Linked DNA regions of Stegostoma tigrinum. The protein of the gene in region 1 purifies or fractionates together with the protein of each later gene. This does not show direct contact. Links are inferred from orthologs where the notes say so. Each region holds a gene or a part of one and is shown in the gene's direction. Other genes may lie near its edges. The genes, in order: potassium voltage-gated channel subfamily A member 5-like and kcnab2a.

Region 1 (11,427 bases):
GAAATAAAATGATTTTCCACTGCCTGGATTAAAAACTCACCAACTGTTGCAATGCACAATACACTTCCCTATTATTCTAGATACTTATGCACAAAGCTGCCACACAAAGTATACTGCCATACAGAAGCACATTAATTTGGCCAACTATTTCAGTTTTGTATGAAGTTACCTGAAGAGTTTCATAGTTACAGTCATTCCATTCTTGTAGATTTTGACAGACAATACTGTACAATAGATAAAAAAAATTGCTTTCTAGTTAGGAAATATAAGGATTGAAAGAGAGCTGTTACCCAAAAGAAAACTACAAATAAATAATTTGGACTCAAATTAATGCTCTGTTATGAATTCTTCCACTTGGGACACATAATGACTGCTTTTCCAGTAGGGTCTCAAATTACATGACAAGTAAAGGAGAGACAGCCAAATTAGAACCTACTGCAACTTTGTCAGTACTAGTAACTCTTTAGTTCTTAGTAAGCACACACTCAACATATTATTGAATAGTTTGACTAGGATCTAGATACTGCCTGTATGTGGTGAAATGCTCAGGTTCATTCTGACAAGTCTATACTTCTCTGAGTTCTGAACTCAGGGTCTTCTCCTCATGGTGGTTGGTCTTGAGTCATCACTCTTGATGTCTTTGATGTGTTTTCTTTTATATGTTTGCTCCCAATCTTCCAGACCATTCAATGCCATTACCATTGCTGAAGACCCTCATAGTTCGGAGCTTGTTTACCCAAGAGACATGTACACAGGAGATGTTTTTCTCCATAGTTAACATCAGACATTTGCTTCAGTAAGCAGTCTTGTTTCACTTCGCCCCTTTACAGCAAGCTCACTCAATGTCTTTGTGCAGTTAGCACAGTTTCCATCATGCTTTTCAAGCTTCATCTGTAAGGCAATGGGCCACAGATACCCACAAAGTACAGGTTTAAGCCTGTTTCTAAAGCTTGTTCTCCTTGGAATAAAGAAGGCACTGGTGTAGTGGTATTTTTGCTGGATTAGAAATCCAGTGATGAATGTAACTCTCTGCAGTTTTGAGTTCAAATCTCACCATACATATGGTAGAATTTGAGTTTTAAAAAAATCAAATCTGAAATTAACTTTCATAATGAGCATCAAGTTGATTGTTGTAGAAACAACTATCTGGTTCACTAATGCCATTTAGGAAAGGAAAACTGCCATTCTAACCTGGTCTGCCTTCCATACGACTGTTTGATTCTTAACTGCCCTTTGAATTGGCCTAGGAAGCCATTCAAGGTTCTGAGGAAGGGTCACCAGACCCGAAACGTTAACTCTGTTTTCTCCTCCACAGATGCTTCCAGACCAGCTGAGCTTTTCCAGCAACTTTGTTTTTGTTCCTAATTTACAGCATCCGCAGGTCTTTTGGTTTTTATTTTGTGCAGGAAACAGTTCAGTTGTATCACTAAAATGTCTCGAATGAATGAAACCAGACAGACTACCTAGAATTGACTAATGCATTGGAAATGATAATGGCAAACACAGCCTTGTTGCCTTTGCATAGTCCTCTTGACCAACATCTGAGGGCTACTCTCAGGTTTGGGAGATGTGTTCAACACACCAATCAAGCAACAGCCTGTAGGTATTTGAAGTTTTTGAGAAGATTTGTAGCTCGGTTGTGGATGAGATTGTAGACCGATGGGTTTGGTTGCAAACGTTTCATCATCCTGCTAGGTAACATCATCCCTGTGCCTCTAGTGAAGCATCGGTGTTCTGTCCCACTTGTTATTTATATGCCTGGATTTGCTGGAATGGTTGACACCTCTTCCACTTCCAGGTCTGTTTTCAGTGGTTTGTATATCAAACATTGAACTGGACCCAATATACATACCACTGACAAACAAAACCAGAAGTAATTCCAACCACCCCAGAAAACAAGGCATATAAATAACAAGCAGGACAGAACACCGATGTTTCACCAGAGGCGCACTGATTGTGTTACCTAGCAGGGTGTCAAAACGTCTGCAATCAAACACACTGGCTGAGCGAGCATGCCTACAACCTTAACTGCCTGACATGGTTATACCCATGGAATCATACTTGACAGATGATGTTCCAGCCAAGACCTTCATGCCTATCCCAACGATAACACATATCGAGCAGAGGTGGCATAACAGTGGCACATAGTCAGAAGGGAGGTACCCTGGGAGACTTCAATATCAACCTCAGACCACACGAATAAGGAAATGTCCTGTTGATTCCAATGTACTACCAAAGCCTGCCTCCTCTACTCCACCATAATGAATGCCACTTGGTGTAAGCATTGAGGGTGCCATAGACTCAGAATATACCCTGGGGGATTTCAATCTCCATCACTACAACTCCAAAAGGATATAGCTGCCCACAATTGGGTGCTTTACATATTGCCATTGCAAAGTCCAGGGATGTTGCTAGGGGAATGACTGTCACGACTGGCTCAAAAAATCAACTTGTTCACATGCAAAAGGTGCTTTTTCAAAAGTTTAGGGAGACATTTACTTCCTAAATACTGGGGAAGCAGCATTAACCATCCAAAGAATTGTGAAAACCTTTGTTGATGTGTGCTACACATATACATACACATATATTTACATATCTAAAGAAACTGTCACACATGGCCAATTACCAGATAATCATGATATAAATATTGGAGCTTTCATTTCATGGATCATATTACTTAGAGTAGAGAAATGGCAATACAAATTTGACCATGAATGTGTCAAAACTTTTACCATTTTAGCACATTAATTTCTTCTTTGGATTCAGTGATAACTGTTCTAAAAAGAAAATTGTGCCACATGTGGCCTGAGAGTTTATCTTTTTGACCCCATTACTTATTAGCCACAGCTGCATATTGAATGCAAGCAGTCCTGTGAGATGGAAGAATTTACAAACAAAAGCTGCCTCCTTTAGGTTGACACTGTCATGGATGTGATACAATGTCCAGATGTATCCTGATAGATCAATGGAGACAGATAAGGTTAAAGTGAAAGTGCCATTTAATTAATGGTAGTCTCTGATTCTGATGGTCAACAAAAGCAGTGCTCAAGGAAAGGATAAATCAAATTTCGTTGTTTTTGTATTGCTGTGCATTACAGCAACACAAACCTTCAAGACATCTAGGTTCTCACTGGGAGCAATTAGAAGGCTATATATGTGAGACAAAGGAACCCCTTCATTGCAGCTATTTTAATCGGAAGTACAACTGAAAAGTAGGAAATCCTTAAAAGTGGGAACCAGAAGATAGAAAAAGCAGAACAGAATGATGGAAAGCCGAGACCATGAGCCAATTAGAAACCAGCTTTTCATTTGCAGGTTCTATCAGGATTTCACATCTATTACTAATGTGAAATGGGACAGCAAATGAATTAACTTGTAGATGTGATTTGTAAGGGTTGTGCATACATTTTTGCTCAGACACTAGTGATTTAAATTCACTAAATCTAATAACAATTTACAGAAATTTGAATAGTACAGTACTAAATTATTAAGAAATGATGAATTGGAATGAGAGTTCACTAGTACATTACAACTGCGTGAGGATTTTTGAACATTTTATTCGTTCATTTGTCTTTATTTTCAATTAAATGCGATTTTTTTAAAGAAACACAAGTTATCAGTCTTTATTAATTTTCAAACATGCTGTTGTTATAAAAATGACAGCACCAGTTATCTTATGAAAGCAATGTTCAAGCAACAGCAATGAATCAAATGATCGATTCATTGAGGAATTAGTTCAGAGAGGATACTAGAAATTTGCTGCTCTTAGAAAAGTGTCTCATGACGTTTTAACATTCAGTTGAACAGACATGTGGCATTAACAGTTGACTGGACAGTCAGAAGCAGTCTGACAGTCAGAAGCATCCAAAAGGACATATGGCATGTTATGCTGAGGCCTATTCTACATTATTAGTGTTTTGCATTACTTGAATAACATGAGAAACACGTGACACATTTGCTGTAAATTCAAGATCTGCCAAACCCTACCTTGTGCTTAATCCTTAATCTTCAAAAATTACTCACTTGCAAGAACTCGCATTAACTACTTATACCCCATTCAGTGTGCAGAATTACTTCAATCAGTACTGGCAGGTGGTCTATTATAGCTACCTCTCTGACAAGCAGACATTGGGCAAAATTCCCTAATTCATTTCATTTCCAGTTGGGATACTCCAATCTGCTAAACTCCCCACATGAAGAAGGATGAACTGGCTCCCGTTCCAAATTCACCCACCTTCTCGTTACAGTTTGTGTACACAAATCTACATAGGAAGTACCATAGTCTGCTCAAGTTCAATGTCAGTAGCTATTCCAAACCTTTTGGAAAAGGCATTTAGAAAAAGACATGCCCTCAATGCGATTCATATATTTACTGGGATGTGGAGCAACAGATTGGTGTAGGCTGCAAATATTCTCGCACTACAGCCACCATCTCCTCCCAAACTCCTGTTGGATACCAAATCAATGCCAGAGTTTGGATTTTGCATAACTTCTACAACCAATCTGGAGGTGAGGTTCTCCAAAGTTATTACGGTTCTGGATGGATACCCAAAATCATTAAGCTGCCAAGAGAGATAGGATGAACTCGCTCCCTGTCTTTATTTATCTATCTTCTCAGTTGGTTGCAACAAAGTTATTTTAGACAGGATTCCTCTGTGTGGAATCCTTTCTCGCAGACCAAATTAATGTTTTAAAAGGGGCAATTTGAACTTCTTTCTTGAGTGAACAAATGAGTGATATTATTGGTTACTTGATGTGAAAAGAATCAATAAAGTAATATGCTTACATGCAGATAGGAATAAGAAGTGAGCCTTAAAAAAAACACAAAAATATACTTGACTTTGTAGTGCTGAGGGTCTTTTCTGAGAGCATGATTTTATGAATCGATTGTTCAATTTTTAGTACATACAATTTATTAGCATGAATAGTCCTCATGCCGTTCAGCATTTTAAGTGGTGGTGGCATATATTAGTTTTCAATCTCCTGGAAACTAGTTTCAGTTATGTTAGTGTGTTATTTTATGAACTATTAAATTATGCACCCTTTCTGGTCAAATATTCTTAAAATTTCATAGTTTGCATTCCTAAAACTCATGAGGTGATTCGTGTTCAGCCTCTATTTGAAGAATCTTTGCTTAGGAAGAGATCTAAGCAGGAATTTGCTTTCAAAACCTGAAGCAAAACCATGCCTCAGCATAAATGTGATGCCTTACAGATTGTGCACTGTGCAAGCTGTCACACTCATGGGGAGGGCATCAATCAGTTGGGATCATGATTACTTTGCATTAGTTTTAGTTTGACGGCTATCAATTTATTTACCACTGGATCACACCCATATGTTCCAGAAAGAAACAGCACCATACAGTTAAGTCCATCTGCTCTCTCAATCGCTGACCGAATTAAATCATCACTATGTCATTGAGTCATGCAGCTGTACAGCACAAACGTTTCAGTCCGACCAGTCCACGCTGAACATAATCCCAAACTAAGCTAGTCCCACCTGCCTCCTCATATGCTTAGGTGAGATGAGGCAGAAAAAGTAAATGTGCTTACACATGATTCTGTGGTTAACCTCTCACTGGAGGCTATAGATGGAGGAACCGGACATGAAACATGGCTGACCCAAGAGGCTCTCTCACCACTGCCATAGGCTACCAGAAAGTGATAAACAGCCTGGTTAGCCGTGACACCTTCACTGCCCATCAAGTTATTCAACAGACCTACATTCATATGTTGAACTAGATGGCAAAATGTGTTCAGAAATTTATGATAAATCCACAAACACCAGTTTTCACCTTTCCATTCTGGACAAACTCCGTGACCCGAGGTCAACCACCCAGCGGACCAGAACCCAGCTCTTAATTCCGGAACGGTTCTGGTAGACCCGTAAAGAGACCTGTATTTTTGAAACTGACCATGTCCTGGAGTGGGACTTGAACCCAAGCTCCTGACTCAAAAGACAGCACTCACCACGCCACAAAACCTCCCTGACCCAACTGTACAAAGCACTTGAATCACCACATAGGGTAAATAAAATAACATTCAAATGTTGGTTCCTTTCTCTTTAAAAAACAGTCGTTTAACATTCTACCTGTTTGTATAGTGAAATCGTTTAAAAGTGAGAGAAGGGTTGATGTTTAAATGATTGTGGTTGGCGATCGGGCTTGTATCTGGGAACGGGAAGGGACCGGGGCGGGGAGGTACAGGAGTGTGGACTGGGCTTAGTGGAGGGGTTAAGTCTGAGGCAGCAGCGCCCAGGGTCGGGGTGGGGGGGTCAGAGCGGTGGGTGATAAATTCTGCTGCTCATTTTCAGGCATTCGACGTCAGAGGGAGAGAGAGCTGCAATCATGATTTATTTGTTGCTCATCCGGGTTCCGCTGCTGTATCCAATGCCTTGATGTATCTCTGTGCCTTGCTCTGGGGTGGGGACTGTTGATCTCTGTCTCTGTCTCTTTGTGTGTGTGTGTGTGTGTGTGTGTGTCTCCCAGCGCTCCGCTGACTGATCAGTTCTCGCTAGATGTGGAATGTGTTGAATATTTAATGGCTCGGGGATGGACATAGCTCTGGTGAGGTTGCAGGACGGTGGCGCCGCTCTGGGGAGCTGCCAGAGAGGTGGAGGTGGTGCTGGTGGAGGAGGAGGAGGAGGAGGAGGCGGAATCTTAGCGCCCCTGGGTGTGAGCGCTGCTGGCCCGGCGGCCAAGGGCTACCTGGACCCCCCGGCTCCGGGCGAGATGAACGCGGCGGGGCCGCTGAAAGCCGTGGACCAGGCGCCGCCGGTGGACAACCTGCAACAGCAGCAACTGCTGGAAGTCAACCGCTCGGAGCGGGTGGTGATCAACATCGCCGGGCTCCGGTACGAGACCCAGCTGAGCACCTTGAGCCAGTTCCCGGACAGCCTACTTGGAGACCCCGAGAAAAGAATCAGGTACTTCGACCCGCTGAAGAACGAGTATTTCTTCGACCGCAACCGGCCGTGCTTCGACGGCATCCTGTACTTCTACCAGTCGGGCGGCAGGATCCGCAGACCCGTCAATGTCTCCATCGACATGTTCGCCGACGAGATCCGCTTCTACAAGCTGGGACCCGAGGCCATGGAGAGGTTCCGTGAGGATGAGGGCTTCATCAAGGAAGAGGAGAAGCCTTTGCCTCGCAATGAGTTCCAGAAGCAGATGTGGCTCCTTTTCGAGTACCCGGAGAGTTCCAGCCCTGCCCGGGGTATCGCCATTGTCTCGGTGCTGGTCATTGTCATCTCCATCATCATCTTCTGCCTGGAAACCTTACCCGAGTTCCGCGATGACCGCGACAGTGCCAGCAACTCTCCGCTCAACACCAGCGCCCAGAGCCCCGGGACTGGGGACAACAGTAGCCTCAGTGACCCCTTCTTCATCATCGAGACCACCTGCGTGGTCTGGTTCACCCTGGAGCTGCTGGTCCGCTTCCTGGCCTGCCCCAGCAAGTCGGTCTTCGCCCGGGACATCATGAACATCATCGACATTGTGGCCATCATCCCGTACTTCATCACCCTGGGCACTGAGCTGGCCGAGCAGCAGACCAATGGTCAGCAGGCCATGTCCCTGGCCATCCTCAGGGTCATCCGCCTGGTGCGGGTCTTCCGCATCTTCAAGCTCTCCCGCCACTCCAAGGGTCTCCAGATCCTGGGCCAAACCCTCAAGGCCAGCATGAGGGAGCTGGGCCTGCTCATCTTCTTCCTCTTCATCGGGGTCATCCTCTTCTCCAGCGCCGTCTACTTCGCCGAGGCGGACGAGCCGCGCTCCCACTTCTCCAGCATCCCCGATGCCTTCTGGTGGGCGGTGGTCACCATGACCACGGTGGGCTATGGGGACATGAAGCCGGTCACCATGGGCGGCAAGATCGTGGGGTCGTTGTGCGCCATCGCCGGCGTCCTGACCATCGCCCTGCCCGTGCCCGTCATCGTCTCCAACTTCAACTACTTCTATCACCGGGAGACGGACAACGAGGAGCAGGCTCAGTACCTGAAGGACGACACGGACAGCGAGCCCAGTCACTCAGAGGAACTGAAGAGGAGCAGGAGCTCCCTGGGCAAACCCTTGGAGAACAGTGAGGGGGTGAACAATGGCGCGGGGGCTCACCTGAAGGCCAACAGTGCCCCCGACATCAGGAAATCGCTGTACGCACTATGTCTGGATCCAAATACAGAGACCGACCTGTAGCCCCGGCCACTTTCCACATGACAACTCTCCAGACTTGTTTGGGGTTGACAAACTGAAAAAAAAAACCACTCAGCATTTGTACAAACCACACAGGTTAGATTAGTTAGGCGAGAAGAAAATATCAATTTTATACATCATTCTTTATCAGACCGTCAGATACATTCCAAGGGGTTTAGCTAAACACTTTGGCGCTGGTTCTTAATTTTTTTGGGGCGTGGGCTGTTGGAGGGGTTTGGGGTTGTTGATGAGACACCGGTTTTCTGCAGGTGCACAATAGGACAGCTGGAACTTGTGCACAGCTCCAGCCTCCGTCTTGTATTTGTTTTGCTTTCATTAATTGGAAACAAATGTAAAGTCTTAAAATTCCATAAGTTTATTTTTGAATTTGTAATTGAGGCAGGTGTGAAGTAGCTCAGTTTTCCTGTGAGGAAGAAAGGTCATGGACTATCCAACCCTTTGTTTCCTGCAATACTTTGCTCATGTTTTGTGTCATATATATTTATATATTTATATACATAAAATTAAGCGGTAGGAGTGGGAGGCGGAAATGTATTCAAACGCATCAAAGCCTGTCGTGATGAGAGTTCGCAACAGTGTTTGTTTTATTTACAATGTAGCTACCGTCAGAGAGAGAGGAAATTCAGTTTGCTTGGAGTCTTAAGGAAGACAAAAGTCGTATTTGTATTTAGGCAATGTGGGACTTCTCTGTTCGCAATATATTTTTTCAAAGTGTTCATGCGACAAAATTCGAACAGATCATACGAGAATTACTGAACAGTATATTTAGATAATTGGAGCATTCCTTGTTTATTTAATATTTATGGGGACTTAAATCAGCAACTTCAGCTTTTTGTACTGATTTTCCATGTTTGGAGAAGCACTAGACTCTCTCTTTGCTGGTAGAGCTGTCAAAGCTTATTGTACATCCACTTAATGTGTTGCAAATGATCTCATGTAAACAAAAATCCAAAGGAATTCGCTAGAGGATCCACTTGATCATATTTGTAATGACCTAAGTGAATGCATTGATTTATACTAATGTTGTAAAATAACTATTTTAAAATCTGCATATTTATTCTGAACAGTAAATCTGCAAAACTGGGTTCTCTAAGAACAGACGAAGATTGGGATTAAGTACCTGAAGTTTAACACATGAACTGTGAAGTAATAAAAGTTGATACCACAGAGTGATGAAACAACAAAAGATAACCAACACATTTTTTTGAACTGGAAACACATTTTAGATGATGACAAATCATTCTGGATTTGATATTTGCTATGACTCGTCTTTTATCTTTTGAAAATGTTTAGAGGAAGTGAACTTTGGACAACATTATATGTTAGGGACTGCCTTATAACTATCGCAAAGCTATAACAATTTGAAACAAATCTTGTGATGTGGAAGGATTTTTACCAGATTCTGAACCGATATTCAGAACACCCATGTCTTCAAATGGACAAAACACCTGTCTCTTGTGAGTGGCTCACTGCTGCAGGCACATGATCGAAGGTTAGTGTTTTACCATTTCTTTTTAAAACTTTGCTTTGCTTAAAAAGTAAACAAAAAATGAAGATTTTAAAAAGGGTACCATTTCTTTCATTTGTAACCCTTTTAAACATAAAAAAATTGAGTTACAGGACATTGTGAAATTATCAAAGTACTATCTACATTCATTTAAAAAATACAAGATCTTTCATTCTAATGCAGCTGTTTTGCTATTAAATGCACAGATAATTACTGGCTTTGTGAAAAGTATCAACAAAGAGCTACCATAATGATTTCACTGTGAGCTTATTAGTGTATTATCTGCTTTGCTGAATGACATTACTTTGATTGGCAGGTAGCCCTCTGCTGATGAGCAATCCATACCTTGAGACTTGAGCCTTTTATGTTAATTTCAGATGTTAATTACATAATGTTAGCAAGAACTTTGTAAATACTTACGATCTCTGATTCTGATATTTACATTTGAAGTTTTCTTCTGCCTTACATATACAGAAAGTTTACAAAATTACTTGAACATTAATTAGCACTATCTTGTTTCATAGATAATTTTCAAAAGAAATCTGAGACTGTTTTACAACCACATATCTGATATGGATTGTGCAACCACCTGGGGGAGACCACACCATTAGATATAATGTCCTGCCTTATTTAACAAAAATAGATTTCCAATTTCAAAACAGCTGAATTGAGAATCACCAGCATCAGTGCCACTCTTTTTATTCTTAAAAGATAAATGGAAAAGGGTGTTTTGGTTCATGATTTATGGGTCTTTCCTTGATATTGCCATCTTATACACTCCATGGGTTCTTAACATAAATTTAATTTGGTTTGCAGGAAATCTGTTTAGAACAATAGTTTATAACTGCTGTTTACAGCATTTTACCATTTGACAGTGTACATATGTCGGCATGTTCAGAGATCAAATGAATTCAGATGGCTGACTGTTTCAACATTACAGACTTAAGATTTTCTGTGTTGCTGGGTGATTGCGACATCATACCCACAGCAGGAAGATTTCTTCTGATCACCATTTCTCGTGAAAACATGAATACATTCTCAAATAACATGATTTTAATTTTGCTAGGAATACTAACCAAAGGAAATCTTCCTTTTACATTTTAATGTTGCATGTGCTTAGTGGCCAAGAAGAAAACAGTCCTGATTGTCATCGTATTTTGTTTGATGTTGTTTCTATTTATTTCTTATGCACATACATGTTTAAAGATTGTACTTTTCATTAATGAAGTGCTGAGCTCTTTTGTGTTTAATTATTTGTGAGTATTTGTTGAAAATGTTATTGACAGAACATATGAAATTATATTTTGTGTACTGAGTAGTGTGGACAATTGTCATGTCTTATTCACTGAACTAAACTTTAATTCGTAGCAGAGTTATACAAATAATATTCAATTTTATTACGGCACCTTTCTTTAAGCAAATCAAATGTTAGTAATCTGTAGGACTAGATGGTATTTGGCTTATTTGATTTGTACACCATTCTTGAAGAGTTGCCTCATCTCAAATTCAGCTAAGACTTCATTGTTCGTTAGCCACAAGTGCAATGATTCTGGGCAGTGTCAGTGTTGTTCCTCATGGAGTTGCCTTTCACTTACCGATGTGCTATTCATTCTTTGTTCACCCCTATTTCTGCTGCTGTTGAGGTTAATGAGCATATAAAGAAGGCAAAATGTTAAATGGGCATCCTATTACTGTTTTGTTCTCTATCTAG
Region 2 (10,909 bases), on another chromosome or scaffold:
GTTTTCACCTCCCCGATTAGACCTGTGTGTGAGAGCACCAGTACTGTGTGCAACCCTGCACCTGAAGCACATATGAATGTGTACGGATGATTATCTCCCTGCTACTATGTCCCTCTATTCTTTTCCTGCCACCGCATGGACTTACAAGGTCAATCCGTGGCAGTGATTACCGGAATCAGAAGTCAATGCATTCGTATGCTGTGTGGTTTATGCTGTTAAGAATTTGCCTCCAAGCTATTCTAGAAGGAAACATAAAACTGTTAATAGTTTAGTTAGATTGCACAAGACCAAAGGATTTTGAAAACTGGTGGTGCATTTCTTTACTTATGAGTGCATTACAAACTGTTCATACTCATACACCCAAGGAGAATTCAATATTCTTTAATTTTTTGTTCTCTCAGCAGCCACAGCTGAACTGGTGGAAGCCTGCTGACCTATTGTTTGCCAATTTGCACAGAAAACTTTGGCATCATCCTCTGATAGCCCTTGCCTGGAGTGCTGTGGCCTTCTGGGCACTCTCCTCAGATGGAGCAGCTAGAGGCATTTGGATCCCTATCAGAGGGGAGATGGTTCTGCAGGGCCCTTAAGGAGTAAAGTGAGAGGACAAATCCTGGTTGCCTGTTTGTCACTCCTCCTGACTATCTGTGCAGAGCGGCACCTGCCACACCTCTCAAAGGATGGATGTTGCATGTTCAAACAAGCATTTAGTGTCCTTTTCCCATTCAAGCCTTTGTGAGCGTACGTGATGTGTAGGTTGTCCTAGTTGTGATGAAGAGCAAATGAGTTGGTGGTATATGAATTGCTGAGTGCTGTTGATCCCTTTTTCTTTTGAAGTATAAACTGTGGCAGATAGAAGTTGCAGTATCACTGTTGACATGGTTGATCTGATAATCCTCAACTCTGCTTTCTAGCATTTTCCCCCATGACCCTGGATTTTATTACTGATTTAGAAATCTGCCTGTCTCAGCCTTAAATACACTTGGCAACCCAGTGTCTACAGCCCTCTTTGGTAAAGAATTCCACAGATTCAGCACTCTCAAAGAAGAAATTCTTCTTCATTCCTGTTTTATATGGGTAACCCCATGTTTTAAGATTATTATCTCAGGTCCTGGACTCTCCTGTTTAAGGAGAAATAAGCTTTATGCATCTATCCTGTCAAGCCCCTAAGAATTTTGTATATTTCAATAAGGCTACCTTTTCACTTTTTGAAACTCCAATGAATACAAGTTCAACCTGCTCAATCTTTCCTCATAAGACAATCCCTCCATCTCCAGGATCAACCCAGTGAACATTACCAAGACTACCCAATATATCTTTCTTTAGATAAATGGACCAGAACTGTTCTTTGTGTTCCAGGTGTGGTCAAACTAATGCCTTGTAAAGTTTTAGTAAGACTTCTCTTTTTTTTATGTTGCATTCCCTTTTGAAATAAAGATGGACATTCGGCCTGTTTTCCCTAATACCCGCTGAACTTGTATGCTAGCCTTTTGTGATTTATCTATCAGGACTCCCAATATCCTTTGCGCTACACTTTCTGCAGTCTTTTTCTATTTAAGTTCTATTAAGCCTTTCTATTCCTCCTGCTATTCCTCACATTTTCCCTACATTATTTTCTATCTGCCAAGATTTTGCCCACTCACCTAGCCTGTTTATGTCCCTCTGCAGAATTGTTGTCATCCTTACCACTTGCCTTCTCACCTAATTTTGTTATCTACAAACTTGGCTATAGCACATTAATTTTCTTCACCCAAATATTACTATATATTGTAAATAGTTGTGGCTAGCACTGATCCTTGTGGCACTCCTTTGGTTACAGGTTGCCATCCTGAAAATGTTCCTCATATCCCAACATTCTGTCCTATATTAGTTATCCGATCCTCTATCATGCTAATATTCTGCCTCTAACACCATGGGCTCTTAAGTTTATTGAGTAAGTTAACTTGTAGCACCTTACCAAACATGTGCTGGAATTCCTAATTTATTACATCCGTGGGTTCTCCTTTATCCTCAAAGAATTCTAATAAATTTGCCAGGCATGATTTTCTCTTCATTGAGCTGTGCTAATGCTGCTTGGTTACATTATGTATTTTTGTGGTATGCTATTGCATCCTTCAAAATATACGGTAATGTTTTCCCAATAACAAATATTAAATCAATTGGCCTTTTTTTGTTTTCATCCCTTTGTTGCAATAACAGATTTAAAATCCTTTGGCACTTTTCCAGGATGTAAAGGTTCTTGGGAAAATCACTACTAGTACAACCTCTATCTCTGAAGCTATTTTGTTCAATATCCTAGAATGCACCACATCAAGGAGACACTTCTTTAGCCCCATTAGTTTTCCCCTACTTATCTTTATGGATAGTTATTCAATTTATTTCTTCTCCCTTTTTGGACCCCCTGGTTTCTCCACTATTATTTCCCCTGCTTTATTTTCTGAGGGGCCTATTTTCACCTTGGGTTCTCTTTCTTTTTATGTATTTAAAGAAGCTGTTTCTGTGAGTCTTGATATAACTTGCAAGTTTATCTTTAAGTTTGTTTTCTCTCTCTTCATTTTTGGTTTGTCTTTGTTGGTTTTTAAAATCTCCCAAACCCCTGGCTTACCACTAGTCTTTTTCCCCATTGTACTTTTTTTTTCATTTTGATGTCATTCTTCACTTGTCCTGTTAATCACAGTTGGTTTATTCCCAAACTAGAATCTTCCTTTTTTCACTACGATACATCTTTGTTGTAAGCCAGGGTCCATTTTCTTAAAGTCTACTATCATTTCTGACCTACCTTTGCTGCTAAACTCCTTTCAAAGTCCACTCCAGCTAGCTCTGCCCTCATTCCTTTGAAATTAGCTTTATTTCATTTTAGCACAATTGTTTCCAACCCAAGTCACTCACTCTCAAACTGAATACTAAATTCTATCATGTTATGGTTGTTATTTTCTAAGGGATCTTTTATTATGACATCATTTATGAATCTTGCCTCCTTATACCAGATCCAAAATGGCCTGAGCCCGAGCTGGATCCACACGTTCTAGGAAACTGTCTTGTATGTATCCTATGAATTCTTCCTTTAGGCTACTTCTACCAATCTGACTTTCCTAATCTACATGAAGATTAAAATCTCCGATGATTGACAACGTGCCTTTTTCCTTATACATGCCTTTGTTATTTTCTGATTTATTTTCTGTCCTACCATGTAACTCCTGTTAGGAGACCTGGAGTCTAAGACTCATTCCTACCAGTGTTGTCCTGTCCTTGTTATTTCTTATCTCTACTCATGGATTTTATATATTCCAGTCCAGAATTTTTCTTTTCTTATTGTATTTATTCCACCCAAAATAACAAAGTTACCCCATCATCCTGTCCATCCTTACGGATAGTAGAAACTGCCGATGCTGGAGTCTGAGATAACAACGTGTGGAGCTGGAGGAACACAGCAGGCCAGGCAGCATCAGAAGAGCAGGAAAGCTGACGTTTCGGGTGTTTGATGCTGCCTGGCCTGCTGTGTTCTTCCAGCTCCACGCCTTGTTACTGCTGTCCTTCCTGCCTGCTCTTTCAACAAGTCGGGCACTCCTGAATAGTTAGTTGCAGCTTTGATCTCCTTGTAACAGTATGTTCCTAATGACTATAAAATTATATCTATTAACCTCTATGCTGTTCGTTAATTTACATTGTTTTTTTGTTCCAACTTCTATGTAGATTCAAAGTAAAGAGCTTTTTTGCTTAGTTTTTTTTAAACTATTCTTCCACCAACCCCCTCCCACACTCCTACCTTTTTAGCCTATTTACTGCTGTTTTTGTATTGTTGTACACACTTACTCTTCCTGCCCCACTTTGGATATTATGCTGTGTACCTTTAAGAGGAAATTAATCTGTCCTATTTTTCTTGGAGGTGGGGATGTAAATCTGGTGACGAGGTTTGTGCTCTATGGAATGCATAGTAAATAGTTTTGGGCTTTTTTTGGCTAGACAAAAGAAACATGAGTGGGTAGAATTAGGCTCACACAGACCCAGGATTTTTGTTTGCTTTCAGTTGTTGAAGTTGGGGTATTTGGAGTTGAAGCTGCTCAGTATCGTTCTTTTTCTACTGCTGCAAAATATTGAGTTCTGTCTCTGCTGCTAGATTCATTCATTTTATCTCCTGCACTAGAGAAAGCATGTGAGTGATTTTGCTTTTGCTAGGAGTGTGTAAATGTTTTGCTGGTATAGTGGAACAGTTGATGAGTAGAAGTTAAATAATATATTATTATGTCAAATATTTTGGTAGAGTTTAAGTTATGCCAATTCTTTCTTTGTCTGTATTTTAACTGTGGTGTAAGAATAAAGTGTCTTTTGCTTAAAGTCTAGTAGTTTGATCATTTGAAGCACATCTGCAGTGCAGCATCTTTTACTTCCCTTTAAGTAAGATTAATGTTGGGATCTGGGCTATCTCAGTGATATGTTTTTAAGGGGTTGGTCTGGTCCATAACAATAACCACCCTGTAAAGTTGCCATATCCTTTTTGATTTGTAACCCAAAGCTGTTTCCCCTTTCTCATATGCTTTCCTTACCCCCTTCTAATTGTTTCAGAGCCCTCACTCTAGACCTAGTTATTCAATCACCAGGATACTGGTCCCAGCATGGCTTAAGTGAAGCCTGTCCCAGTGGAACAGTTCTACCCCAGTGGACTTCAAGTAGAGAGATTTCATTTGGGAACACACGGATGTCAATAATGAAGGAAGGAAGAAAGGAATAGACTTGAGAAATGCAAATAGAATAAATAAACAGTTGTTCAAATGGGGACATGTATATCCACCTGCTGCATATTTTTGACTCAAATGTCACTAGATAACCAGTCCATCTAAGTTGTAACTGTCTCATCATGGTGTACATGCCAAGCATCCACAACTTGGATGATTACATGGATGCTTGTTTTTTTTTTGTCCTACCATCTTATCTTCAGAAGCTTCCAAAGGCTGTTTAAATGAAAATAGTTGACTTTCTTGGTGTGATGCTGGTACACAGATCAAATCTGTCATGGTTGGAGCTGAGTGAGCCAGGACCATTATTCTGTCAACTTGCAGTTTGGTAGGCAGACTTTTTGTTGAAATCTATACTTGCTTAAATAATTCTTACATGTGTCTTTTTGTCATTATAGGCAGCTTGGGTAACGTGAAATTGTTAAATTACATGAATTTATTCATTGCTGAAAGGTTCTGATCATGGAGTGAAATCTTGGGCTTGAATAGTGCTTTCTTGAAGAGTCTGGTGTATTACTTCAATTTGACTTTGTCCTAGCTTTAAGACCAGAGTAGACAAACCCTTAAGTTGCTAAGGTTAGTAAACCTGATCACTACCCTTGCCTGGTTTGGCTGAGCCATTGAATGCTTTACTAGTTATAACTGTGGTTGCATTGTGAACAATTATTTTGATCCTCAGGTGAGAACTAGGTGAAGACAAGTATAGGGTGAATCACCAAGAGGTAAGAGCCAATTCCTTTGAAGCAATTTGGGGCATTTTATTCCATTAAAGGTGCTATGTAAGTATCAGTTCCCTTGCTTTTGGTAGCGCTGGTATCAAAAGTATTACACAGTCACCAATTTGGATGCATATTGGTCCATTCATTTCTAGTAGGTTAGTGATCTTTCTATTTGTTGCATTACAATTAGGATTAGTACAAAGTTCAATTTTTAAGCTTCATTTAAAAATATCTTTTTATTGAAATTTCAGAACTTAATTTTATTTATTCCAATAATTATTTAGAAGAAAATTTTCAGACATTGGGGTGTCAATAGTGCTGCAGTAATGCAACTATCTCAATCCAGGAAATATAAACAGCTGTGGTGTGGTACATGTTTAAAAGGAGTTCATGCTTTAATTTTTTTAGTTCGAGCAGCTATCATATACAGCATAATTGTACAATAAACTTATAATTAGTAAAGAAGCAGTAAGGCATCTGTACATCAGAATATTCTAAAATAACCTCTGCTGAAATTATGTTTCTCGGAGATTGAACCAATTGCTCCATTTATCTTGGGGTTTAACACACTTTTAAACCAATCATTATTGTTCAGTTACGAAAATATATGCACTCTGCAAAAATTGATGAAAAGCCTGCACAGGTTCCTAGGTTCATTTAAGGTAGTGGTGGCTTTATCCCTTTTAAGCAGTAAACAATACTTCATCTGCTACAGTAAGCTTTTAGTGGAAGAGAATGCCCTAAATAATTTAACCACTATTTGCCAAGATGCAAGTACACTGATAAGAGCAAATGGGCTGCATCAGAAAACCACTTAGTCTATAGCAGGGGGAATGGATTTGGTACTTACTAATTGCTTTTGACAATAGAACGCCCCCTCCAAATATCAAAGTGCTGTCGTAGAGTCTTATAGATCTTAAAAGCCATTCCTGGTTTTTAAACAAGCAGCTACTCTGGCAGTTGGGTGAGTTTTGCTTTTAGTTTAGAAGAATAATATGTACAAACAGTAGTGATGCTGGAGTGTATCTTCCTGAATGGGTATGCATATAAACTTTTAGTTTTATTAATTTTTAAATTTAGCTTTTATCTGATGCCTTGGAGCATTTTTAAAAAATGGTAAACTTAAAACCAACAGATATGAAGGGAAGGGATTTATATAGTCTTTGTGTATAAACATGAAATGTAAATTTGGGGTATGAGATTGTCTATCGAAGTTTAAAATTTTTGAAATAAAAGCAGCTGCTGGAAAATATTGCTTTTTTGATAGGCATGATTTAGTATTGCATATTTTAATGAAATGGATTTTTATTTTAACAACTTAATTTTAATACTCTTTAAAATTATCTCTAGTAATATTAATAGGGAAAGCTGCACAATGGAATTTTAATTCTAGCTGCAATATGAACCTCCTCCCCCTTTGGCACAACTTTGGGGTCTTTCCTTTCTAGTTGTGCCTTTTTCAAGGAGAAGCATTATAGTAAGCAGCAGCAAAAGTTCAACTTAACCAAAGCGAAGAGTCATTCCCAGAGGTTTGGTAAAAATTGTTTTGCTGTATGCCTGCTATGAAACATTTTGCTTTGCTTTACTGTTTATTTCTTATCTTGCAACAGCAAAAAATTACACACCAATAGATTTTTATTTTGGATTGGAAAACGACAACATGCAAGAAATACTCAGTAATTTATATTTGTGTGTGGGGCTGTACCAAAGATGGCTGCAAATAATGACCATTCATTTTCAATACCAATTTCAAATCAAGAATAAAGCTTCATGGTACTGTTTTATGTACTGATTTCCTGATATCAGTAATCCCTGAAAATAGGACAAAAATGTAGAATTAAATTGATAAATTGAATGGACTTTGTCAATATTTTTAATCTTACAAAAGCAAATGTCGACATTTGGAATGGAGATGCCAGTTTTTACTGTAGTTACGCAATTATTGTATTAAGGTATATCCCAATTTAATGGGATTTGCCTATTTTAGATAGCTGCCTGCTGCTTTGCATCCAACTACAGTTTATTATATGGGGGAGAAAAAAGGGTACTTAGCCCTGTTAAATTTACACGACAGAGATTTGATTGCCCACCAGTGAATCATTATTAGCTTATAACTAAATTTTATGCTAAGCACAGAAGGAAACTGAGGCATTGTTACAAATAGAGTTCAAGGACTTTTGTAGATCACATTTATATTTGTTCCAGTTTTCAGTGCAACTGTCTGTTATTCTTTAACACAGATTAAGTTTTTGTGTCTTAAGAGATTTTTAACTTTGAAGCTATGATTCTTCGATATGTTTCTCAAGCTTAAAAGTAGATTATAGAGCTATTACATTGTTTTCTTTTCTCTCCGGTCCACAGTGTTTTCCCTGTCTATCCTTACTTCTCCAGATTCTGGTATTGCTCCTTTTGCCCTGTAATCATCATACTTGCTCAGACCTGCTATTCCACTATTGCATGCATCCAGAAACTTCCTCGCCTTTTATAATATAATATAATAAAAGTCATCTCTTCTTCCATCTTGCCTGAAAAGGCAGGGCATTTTGATTTGAATTGATGTTGAATTTACATCTGAACTTATAAATTACGCTTGTATTTAATCATCTCCTTGTTTTAATGTGTGTACTTCATGCTATAACAAAACATTTATTTTTCTGTACTTTAATTTTATTTGTATTTGTCATTTAGGTTCTATCCCTTTTTTCCAGCTTTGTTTAATTTGCATGTTTCCTTCATATGCTTTCCAGTATGTCATTAAGTGACAATTTGGCGCATGAGCCTTGCCACCTTCTGCAGCCCAGTTTCTGATTACAGCCTGGTAATGTCTTATCTAAGACCCATATGTTTTGTTGCTACTTCAGTTCAAACTAACATTGAATGTTAAAATATTTAATGGAAACTCGAACAAATCTGAATGCACCATCTGAATGTGTAATAAATAAGTATATGCGTTACAGTTTTTAAAAAAGAAAATATTTAATTCAGACCATGTCCAGGGCACACCAAAATGCCACCTTCAAAGATCAGTATTAGAAATATGGCATCTCTTTTTCAAATATTCTTCAAAAATATGTTGTTCAATACTACAAAAAATGTTATGAATAACCTAACAGTTAATTTTGGTTGTGGTTTTGGCATTTCTTACTTTCAGGCAAAATGCAAATATTAATTTATGACCATGATTACAAATTGTTAAATACACTAACCTCGTATAGCATTGTCTTTGAAAGCCAGTACAAGAGAAGTGAGGCTTTCTTGTATATTTATTAATACTGTGCATATAAACAATACATACATTTTAAAAAGTGTGAAACTTAACTGGTTATGGTGATGGATTGCTAAACCACAGTTCAAGAAAATTCTGTGTTTGATCCCATTTATGCTGGTTGTTTTTCAGCTTGTGTAATTATAAAGACCATATAATTGACCTCAGGAGAAAATTATTTGTTGTACCTGTTTCCGTTGTCCAGTGACTTACTTTCTAGTGATTCCCACTTTTGAGAAAAGGATTGAGTTTTACCGTGATGCCGCTCAATTTGAACTGCTTGCCTAATTCTACTGGAAAAGCTTAACCATGCTGGGTGGTTGAGCAAAGAAATGAAAAGCACCATGAGATTGTTACCCAGCAAAAGTTGGTATCTTTAAAGAAAATGATGGGAGAGTGAAGAACCTGCCTCAGAGGCTGGAAAGGAGTTTTGTTATGTTGTTCTCCGTGGGACTTGCCTAAATAAAAATTGTAAATATTTGAACCAATTTAAAAACTGGTATCTTAGAAGTACCTTTTTTGTAACGAGGCATAATATTTCTATGTTTTGATTATAAAAATGTTTCATTATAAATGCTAAAATATTTAATTAATTGACAAATGATCTTTTTTGTTAGCAGTGGTGCAAGGTTAAGTGAAGGCTTCCCCTTTCACAATTTATGGGCATGATCTTTCACATCGCGTTCAGTGGTGTATGCATGCCACCTGATTTCACTAAAGACAGTAATCTCAACTATAGGAAATCCAACAAATTAACATCATGAGGCCAGCATCAGTTTACATGATTTTTGTCTTGGAAGCCAGCAGTACAATCATGCCACTAAACTGAATGTAAAAACAAGTTTGAAGAATTTATTATTTGAAATTCTACAGCTGCTGTCATGTCTAAATGATTTAAATTAGTCATATTAGCAGGAAGGTTTCATTTTAACAATCAGAATATGTTCTGGATAATTACTAGAAGATTTAGCTTTATTGTCACAAGAAAAGCCTCACTACTTCTTCCATCTGGTCTGTGAACAATCTAGTCACAGTCAGTGAGTTAATATTCTTTTTGTCTTGAATGACAGTGAAAAATACATTGTTTTCTCTTCACTGTGTGCACTGATGGCCTATGCCACGTGATTTGATAGGGTGCCGATGTGGGCAGCAACAGTATACCTCAGTGAGGTCCCAAGTTAGGAAGCGTGAACTTAGCCATGGTTCCTGTTCCTGATTAATATCTAATAATTTCTGCTAGAAATGCCTGTATTCAGTTGAGAGTAATATAAAATTCAAACTTGATTCTTCTCCTAACTTTGCAAATTAACACACTTTAAGTTTATTGTTCAGATAATGTGAGTGAATTATGGGAGTTCTGAGGATGCCTACTGAGTGGTACTCGTACATTAATCAGAGCCTTCTGTCAAGGTGGAGAGAAAAGTCTATAAAAATTTTGGTGCCACATTTTAAATTTCTGGGGATGATCACACATCTTCAAATAAATGAAAATTGTGTGCATAAACGTCAAACAATAACAATATTGCAATTTTTCTATCTCCAAGAAACAAATTCCTTGCGTTGCTCTTCCTCATGCTCCATCATATTGTCAGAATCAGTTACCTAATGGAAGCTGACTGAAGGTTTCACAATGGATTAAAAATTGGAAAATAAACTGTTCAATCTTTTATGCACCTCTCTTTGACTGCTCTCTTCACCATAGATTGAAGATCTGACTATCTGTCTACCATCTCCTTCAGGGAAAAGGTACCTGACTAGAGATGGAAAAATTAGGGAAAGTGCCTGACAATCTCTCCAATTACCATAATCTTTTCAGGTGGTTATTATTTATATTTTGTTTTTAGTGCTTCACCTTCTATAATAGAATTTTCAGTTTGCTACCAAAGCTCGTTCATTAGGATTCTCATTAGGAGTAGCAGGTTTTGCTATTAACTTGTTTGCTAACATGCTATCAAACGTGTTTTGGTCCCAGGAAACACCAAATGCTGTTGATATTCCAGTTGTACAACTGTGAATTATTGGATGATGTCATTAAAAGCCAAATGCAGTCATTCAGTTGCCATGTAACTGCTTCAAATCCTGTAGAAAAGTTTAAGCAATGATGTATTTCCCAGTGGCTGCTTTTATTTAATTTTTATAAGTGGAAATCTTTCAATCTGATAACATTAGAAGGATCTAAGTGTGCTTCTTAAAAT

Evidence for each region.
Region 2: the proteins of potassium voltage-gated channel subfamily A member 5-like (region 1) and kcnab2a purify together in Homo sapiens (co-immunoprecipitation; 3 studies listed by BioGRID and IntAct, counting the BioPlex papers as one, with this or other methods). This does not show direct contact. The link is inferred for Stegostoma tigrinum from reciprocal best matches to the Homo sapiens genes KCNA5 and KCNAB2.

The regions. Positions count from the first base shown.
Region 1 is NC_081378.1:40,102,795-40,114,221, forward strand, and holds the start of potassium voltage-gated channel subfamily A member 5-like, read left to right. Parts: upstream 1-6,673; 5' UTR 6,674-6,730; coding exon 6,731-8,191; 3' UTR 8,192-9,701; intron 9,702-11,427. UniProt on the Homo sapiens protein: Voltage-gated potassium channel that mediates transmembrane potassium transport in excitable membranes. Forms tetrameric potassium-selective channels through which potassium ions pass in accordance with their electrochemical gradient.
Region 2 is NC_081381.1:25,934,451-25,945,359, reverse strand, and holds the start of kcnab2a (voltage-gated potassium channel subunit beta-2), read left to right. Parts: upstream 1-6,317; 5' UTR 6,318-6,413; intron 6,414-10,909.